2 linked regions of the Mus musculus genome follow. The protein of the gene in region 2 binds, or shares a complex with, the protein of the main gene of each other region. Links are inferred from orthologs where the notes say so. Each region holds a gene or a part of one and is shown on either strand. Other genes may lie near its edges. The genes, in order: Polr2j and Gtf2e2.

Region 1 (4,323 bases), on a different chromosome or scaffold from region 2:
ATGCCTGTGGCTCCAACGCTTGGGAGACTGAGTCTGTATTAGTTACTGTTCTTGTTGTTGTGTCTGAAAACTGAACAGAAGTCCTGGTGCTGCTGGCTTACGCCTTTAATGCCAGCACTCTTGGAGATGGAGGCAGGCAGCTTTCTGAGTTCGATGCCAGCTTGATCTACAGAGCAAGTTTCAGGACTGCCAGGGTTGCACAGAGAAACACTTGTCTTGAAAAACAAACAAAACCAAGACAACAACAACCAGAAGCAGCCAGGCGTGGTGGTCCATGCCTTTAATCCCAGCACTCGGGAGGCAGAGGCAGTCGGATTTCTGAGTTTGAGGCCAGCCTGGTCTACAAAGTGAGCTCCAGGACAGCCAGGGCTACACAGAGAAACCCTGTCTCGAACCCCCCCCCCAAAAAAAAAAAACAAAAAAACAACCAACCAGAAGCATCTTAAGGAAGGGTATACAATGCAGATGTCATAGCAACAGGATTCCCAGGCAGCCAAGCACACTGCATCTGCGCCAGGAAGCTGTAGTCTGACTCCTGAGCCTCTAGGATGATGCCATACACGTCTGTCTTCCTCAGTCAAATCTGTCTAGAATCCCAAAGACAACCAAACGTTCTTTATTATGGTTATGATTATTATTCTCTATTGTGAGTGCACACATGTGTAAATGCATACCGTGAAGGGAGGTCGGAGAAGTCTGTTCTCTACCACCACGTGGGTTCTGGGGACTGAATTTAGGTAATCAGATTTGGTCACACTCCCCCTTGCCCACTGGGCTGTCTTGCTGGCCCCTCCTAGGGGTTTGTTTCTAGGATGATTCTAAATTTCATCCGGTTGACAAGATGAGCCATCAGGGAGGCTGGAGAAATGGCTCAGCAGTTAAGGGTCTTACTGCTCCTGCAGGGGACTGGAGTTCGGTTCCCAGCACCCACTGGGGCAGGGGGGGCTCACAACCACCTGTAACTCCAGCTCCAGGTGACCCAACCCTCTTCTGGTCTCCAAAGGCACCTGCATATACGTGCCCATACAAGATATGCAAATAAAAATCTTTAAAAATAGGAAAAATAAAAGATTGCTACAGAGACCGCTGAAAAATGGCGAGGTGCAAAGCTTTCATCGTGTTTTTAGTTACCTGTGTGCTCAAGAGAAGATGCGCTGGTACCCCAAGCTCCTCCCCAACCTTTACATCCCTTCTTGCTCCACTGGTCCTCATCTAGAAGGCCTCATAAGTCCGCCAGTGTCGGCCCACCCGGGGGTCCTGCAGCAGCAGCCCACTTAGACTCTTAGTCCCATTCAGTCGGTACCGGGGAGCCAGCTACAGGTGGCTCAACTCCGGGCGCGGGAGCACGCGCCAAAACACTCAGCATGGACGCCTCGAACAAGGGTTCTAAACTGACGCATGCGCACGGCTCGCCCTCAGCCTTGCCTGCGCCTGCATTAGGTCATCCGAGCCGCTAGGGGGCGGGGGCCAGGTGCTTACACTGATTGGCTGCGGCTGAGAAATCCGGAAGTGGTCGCGCTTCGGGGCTCTGTTGGCGGAAGGAGACTGTGGGTTGGTGTCGGGGAGCGAGAGCGCGGCGCTAGGATGAACGCTCCTCCGGCCTTCGAGTCGTTCTTGCTCTTCGAGGGCGAGAAGAAGTAAGTGGAGGCCGGCGGAGGCGGGGACGGTTGCATAGGAGCCTGCCGGCCGTCAGCTCCGCTGGAGCGCCGCACTGCTCCTGTCTGGGGAAACCGAGGCGGGAGGCGGGCTTTGCTTTGAGTCTTCCGTGCTGCTCAATGCGAGTCTGCCCAGCTTCAGGCAGCGGCGCGAAGCACTGGCGCGTGCATGCATTTTGCAGTGGGAAATCGGAGGCTCTGGGACATGGAGTGTCTTGCTCCAGACACTTGGTTCATGATGACAGCTGTGAAGGGACAGAGACACAGCTCTCTTACACTCCTCAGCAACCTGAGGGTTTCTCCTAGATTTTCAGGGATCCCGACTTAGGCCAAACCCGGGTTCGTGGCTCCACGCTAAAAAGAATTTCAGGACTCTTCGGTTTAGTGAAGCAGGATTGGTGGGTTTTTAATTAAAGATACTTTAATATGGGCTTAAGCAGGAGGGTTCAGAGGAAGAGAGCGCTAAGAAAGTAAGACAGACGCAAGTTGGGTCTGTGTGCATTCAGAGAGCAGGGGGAAGTACTTTGCACTCGAGTGGCTACAGGTTTAGAGATTAAGCATCTAATTGTCTTTTGGAGGTAGGGTTTCTCTGTGTATCCTCCTTGACTGTCTTGGAACGAGCTTTGCAGACCAGACTAGCCTCAAACTCAGCGATCCACCTGCTTCTACCTGGGATTAACGGCCTGAGCCACCGGCTCTGGCTTTATGTAATTGTCTTAATGGTAGCCAAATACACTCTTTTGATGACTCAAAGTTTGCTACGAACCCTTCTCTCTTGTGTAACCCTTCTCTCGTGTGTGTGCCCCTTCTTGGAAGTCAGCTTAGTCTCTATCTCAGTGGGAAAAAGGTATGGAGGTGTGCTAGGAATCGTTTGTGAACCCCAAAAGATCATTAAGGAGCCGTTTCCATTAGGGTCTCTTTATCACAAGCTCGGGCTTGGGCTCTCCTCCAACCCAACCCTGACACAACAGGACAGGAAGAGAAGGCAGAGCAGCCTTGAACCCAGGACAAGGTTTTCTAGGGAGTGGGAGTGACGGGGTATGGAGCTTGGCAGGTATCTAACTGAATGTCTGTTGTAAGCTGACAGGTGGTGCTGTGAAGGGAGATGAACAATCACAAACTATCTGAAAGTAGATCTGAAGCAACCAGACTAATCTTTGATTAACTGTTGCTAGGGAGTAACTCTGGGGTATGGGCCAAGGGACAAGCCGTGAGGTCCTTCCTGGTACTTGGTTGCATCTTGGGTTCTGCTGTAGGTCAAGTTCTCAGGCTTTTTTTGCGGGGGGGGGGGGGGGTTCAAGACAGGGTTTCTCTGTATAGCCCTGGCTGTCCTGGAACTCACTTTGTAGACCAGGCTGGCCTCAAACCCAGAAATCCGCCTGCCAATGCCTCCAGAGTGCTGGGATTAAAGGCATGCACCACCACGCCCGGCTTTTTTTTTTTTCTTTAAGATGGAGGTAGCAGGTCCCAAGATGGAGTAGATTTGGCCTCTCAGAGGTATACCCCAGTGGTAGATTGCTTACCTAGCATGCACGGGGCTCATTTCATCCCTGTATCAATCAGTCAATAAATAATGAAGTTCTTCAAGATCCTCCGAGTTTGCCAGTACAGTGTACACTGCAGACCTGTAGCCGACACTGCTCATTCCTAAGAGGCAGGGTTTTGTGATTGACATTTGATAGCTACTTCAGCCTTCCTTGGGGGCATATTCTCAACTGAGAGCCCGGTTGTTGTCCCATGAGCAAGAGCATTTGGCCATCTGGAAAAGGTTCTGGTTGTCCCAGGCACGTTGGTATTGGCAGCGGGTGGATAGCAGCAAGGGATGCTGATAACAACCCTTGGTGCAGTAGACAGGCTCCCAGAAAAGGACAATCAGGTCCAAAACATCCATGTTCTGGGCTGGCAACATGGCTTGAGCGCAGGCACCCGCAGGCAAGCCTGATGACTTGAGTTCAGTCCCTGGGACCACTATGGTACCAGGAGAGACCTGACAATTACAGGTTGTCCTCTTATCTCAGACAGGCGTGGACAAAGTAAGAAAATATTTGTGTACCGAGTTTGAAAAAAGGAGCAATCCTTAACTGAGCGGTGGATTTTAATCCACCTTTAATCCCAGCACTTGGGAGGCAGAGGCAGGGGGATCAAGGCCAGCCTGGTCTACAGATCAAGTACGAAGAAATGTAGTCTCAAAAAAAACAAACAAAAACAAGGACTGCTAAGTCCATGCTCCCTGGTATATAAATAGGAGGCCATCACAGGGGAGAGGCGGTTCCTTGTTAGCATTTATTGATTGATTGATTGTCATGCTGAGGACTTGTGTGTAGATCTGAGTTCTGCTTCCAGTGTTTCTCCAGGGGCATGGGAAGTGGAGACAAGCACAGTGTGTCCATTGGCAAATGAGATTCTACCTTAAGCAAAGAGAAAGGCCAGGGTGATGGCTGAGGTGTTTCTCTATCCTCCTGCCTCAGCCTCCCAAATTGCTGGGATTACTGGTCTGAACTACCAGGCAGGCCTACCTTGTTTATTGTTTGGACGGTGGGAGTGGTGGAGATGAGACCCAGAGACTTACACATGGGAGGTTAATGGTTGGCCACTGAACCATGCCAGAGCTCTGAGTCCTTTACTGGTGAGTAGACTGAAAAAGGCCTCCCAGGGCTAGACCTGTAGC
Region 2 (3,809 bases):
GCTTTTTAAAACAAAGCATTAACATTTATATTTCGTGTAATTTTATTGCTTAGCTTATTAACCAGAGGCATACCCTGTGTTCCAAAGATGAAATCCTTACGCCAACAGTACTGACTCTAACCTCTGTCATATCCTAAACATCCCCCCAGACAAGTCAGGGGCTGCAGCTGCTCCCTGCCATTTTCAAGAAGTAAGAGACAAACTGAATTTCCTAACTTCTTAAACATCTTCCTACAAATGATTTTATTATAAATATTTTTTCTTGGAATAAACAAAACTGCATTCAGCACCATCCTCCAACTTCTTCTAAACGAATAGAGAAAACATGGAATCCAGAACCATTTAGAAATCAAGATAAATAGCAGACACCTGAGTGTCATATAAGTGTCTTTCTAATAAAATAAAACAAACAAACCCAGAAAGTTAAACAGGAACACCCATTCCTTCCCACTAGCCTGCTGGATGAAAAGAATGAGTCTGGTAACCCGCTCCTGTTCTGTAAACTGAGCAGCTCCTCTCTCAGGCCTGAGGAGCAGGCAGGAAGGCAGACAGTCTTGAGATCCCAAGCATCAAGAAAGATCTCGACTGCGTGTCTGTAACTGTGTTTAGGAATAAAAGTGTTCCCTATTTGCCCGGGGTAATGTCCGAGTAATCCTTCAGCACTCCAGCCAAGTGTTCATTGTGAGTCTTAAACCGTCGCTTTTTCTGTGAAGCAGGCTTTTTCCTTCTCTGAATAGAGGCCTGCAGGACAAGGTAAAGACAGTTAAACACAAGTGACCCTAGGGGACAGAAGGTTAAGATTTACTCAACAAGCTCAAAGCACAGGGTTCTGAGCCTTTCCTGGTTCTTGCTTGGAGGTCCGACCTCAAACACCCCATTCACAGTACACCCAGCCTCCATCTAGAGCTGTGCCTTCTGATACCACAAGGCTTTATAAACCTCCATTGGAAAAGAGCAGGCAGGCACAAAAGCAAAACACAACTCTCCTGGGCATTAAGTCAGTAAAATGAGAGGCGATGAATTTCTGTGCTGTCTCCATCAGAGGGAATCCCTCCCTCACTCTTGGACAGCAGGATGAGGAGCAGCTAACCGTTCAGAAGAAGCGACTAAACTGCTTTTCTAAAGAATACATACCACTTTCTTTGGTCCAGATTCCTGCATGGAAGAAATACCCTGTCGCTTCAGATACTCTTCAATTTTCTCCTCATCCATTGAATCCACAGTGACACTCCTCCACAGTTTCTGGAATTCTGTACCAAGACAGTAATTATTTTACCATAAATTTGTATAAACCACAGCATTTTTGGTGATCAAAATTCACCTTGAATAGTATCTGTCCTGGGCCTAAATTAGTACATCTTAGATTTAACTAAGAAAACAAAGAAATACCTTAAACCCTGGCAGGCACTCAGGAGGCAAAGTAGGCAGACCTCCACAAGTTCAAGGCCAGCCCTGCCTAACAGCAAGTTCCAGGCAAACAATGAGGATACATAGTGAGACACGGTCTCAACAAAGAAAGAAGGAAAGAGTGAAACAGAGACACGGACACAAGAGAAAGAGAAAACGGCAAAAGTATGTCAAGTGCTGGAGGCTGTGTGACCTGGAAGGCAGCAGTGACAGGGCCACCAGTGTGCTCTGCTTTTTATGATTTAGTTAGAAGAAGGCTGTGTGACTGAAGCTTCTCCCACCTTCAAAGGGAAGAGAAGCAGTTAACACTTCCATTCCAACAACAACAATGAGGAAGAGGAAGGAGAGGAGGAGGAGGGTAGGTTGAGAACACTCCCTATTATGAACAAAGGAAAAAGGTAGGTGTCTAGCCACGTATCCCATTCTTATACTAGACATGTATAAAATAATAATCGTTTATGCTTTAAATTCTGCTCCTAAAGGCAGCTAGCTGTACTGAGCAGGCTCACTAAGAGCCTTGAAGCCCTTCCCACACACAGCCCACCTGTGACGACAGCAAAGCCTTACAGTGTGCTCTGGGGACTGAGAATGGCAAAGCCCCTAATGCTGCGCTAGGCTTCTTGTTCACCATAGCCGAGGAGGTTGCAGGCCTGACTATTGCCAACCCTACACCAGCACACACCTCCCCTCCTTGCCACTCCACTACCATGCAAGCTACGTGACGGCTCAGTGGCTGTTCTTCAAGGAGACATGACTTGGTTCCCAGTACCCACCCACATGGCAGCTCACAGATATCTCTAACTTAGGTCTAGGGGCTCTCATGCTCGTGTTGCCTCCACTGCTCTGCTTAGTAGTTAAGAGCACCAACACACATGCAGGCCAAATACCCATGCAAGAAATAAAAAAATAAAAAAGATAATTTTTTCCCCAAACTTTCAATCTAAAGCAAACAAATGGTGACTAAAGTGCATGTGAATACATGCAAGCGACTAATGCATTATTTCAAGAGTCAAAGTTCATACAGCCAGTCTGGCTACTGTTTGGTATGTTCCCACGCCTTCTACATGTGACACCCTACACCACCCCAGAACTCTACCAGGAAGAAGGTCTCTGAATAAACCTCTTTGCTTTATAATTCACCCAGTCTGTGACACTTCTTAATAAAAGACTAAGACAGCAATCTTAAGCTAAAAGGAGCAGAGTTGGAGGCAAGAGACAACAATGACCACAAACCACATTACAAAGCTACAGTAATCAAAACAGCATAAAAATAAAGAAGTGTCAACCTACAAAACAGAATAGAGTACAGAGAGGATTATCTTAATATCAGTTAAAGTAAATATCTCAATTGATTTTTAATAATGTAAAAGCAGAAAATGAAACAGTCTCTTTAATAATGTCTTGGGGAGTCAGTGTGGCCAGAGCGATAGCTCAGCAGTTAAGAGCACCAGCTGCTCTTCCAGAGGACCCTGGTTGGCACCCTCAGCACCCACATGGTGGCTTACTCACGCCATCTCTTAATTCCGGCTTTGGGATTAGGCTCTTTTCTGGCCTCTGCGGGTCCGAAGCACATAGGTGGCATACAGATATACATGCATGCAAAACATCCACACACACAAAACACAAAGTGTGCCAGAAAAATAATTGAATCTACAAGCAGGAAAGGCAGGCTCTTTATCTCATACTATGTGCAGCAGTCAACTGGATGTGGATTACAGACAGAAAGACACACACAGAGTTTTTAAGAGCTCTGCTGTAATTATCTGTTCCTCTGTAATGACTCTTTCTCTTCTTTCACTGTCTTCATCTTCAGTAGTTAGCAGTCTGAATAAACCAAGTCTGATGTTTTCCTCTTTCATTGGCTTGGAGAGGCATGACTTATCTCACGTGCTTAGATCCATCCTGGTTTGATGTCATTAATTCTAGAAAATTCTTGGCCACTGATATTCAACTTTCTCTTCCACCATCTCCTTCAGACTCAAATTATCCATGAAGATAATTGAAGACCATGTGATATTGTCCTACAGATCGTTAAAAATGTCCCCTTGGCTACTACGTCATGTGTCCTGAGAGGCTACTGGAGTTGCTCTTCAGCTCTGTCACCACACTTTCCATTAGATGTTCTTAGTGACATATTCCACTTCATCATACAGTTGGTCTGGCCTTTTCTACTACTTAGGTCAACATTAACCTTTATTTTAAATTCTGTGTTTAGCAGTTTATCTAGTAGTTAAATATCTGTGTCTTAAGAATTTGGTCTCATTACTGACCTGGTCTCAACAGTATAATATTTTCCTTTGTCTCTTTTTATGCATTTTTTTCCCAAGCAGGACATCCTCTGTGGCCAGCTGAAATCAGAGGTAATAGTCTGTATGCCTGGAAATGGGAACGCCTTTCCTTTG

What was found.
Region 1: Gtf2e2 (region 2) and Polr2j share a complex: the UniProt entries of both Homo sapiens proteins name them as parts of the TBP-based Pol II pre-initiation complex. The link is inferred for Mus musculus from reciprocal best matches to the Homo sapiens genes GTF2E2 and POLR2J.

The regions. Positions count from the first base shown.
Region 1 is NC_000071.6:136,115,169-136,119,491, forward strand, and holds the start of Polr2j (DNA-directed RNA polymerase II subunit RPB11), read left to right. Parts: upstream 1-1,522; 5' UTR 1,523-1,584; coding exon 1,585-1,637; intron 1,638-4,323. UniProt on the Homo sapiens protein: Core component of RNA polymerase II (Pol II), a DNA-dependent RNA polymerase which synthesizes mRNA precursors and many functional non-coding RNAs using the four ribonucleoside triphosphates as substrates.
Region 2 is NC_000074.6:33,773,385-33,777,193, reverse strand, and holds the end of Gtf2e2 (general transcription factor IIE subunit 2), read right to left. Parts: intron 1,251-3,809; coding exon 1,135-1,250; intron 742-1,134; coding exon 625-741; 3' UTR 21-624; downstream 1-20. UniProt on the Homo sapiens protein: Recruits TFIIH to the initiation complex and stimulates the RNA polymerase II C-terminal domain kinase and DNA-dependent ATPase activities of TFIIH. Both TFIIH and TFIIE are required for promoter clearance by RNA polymerase.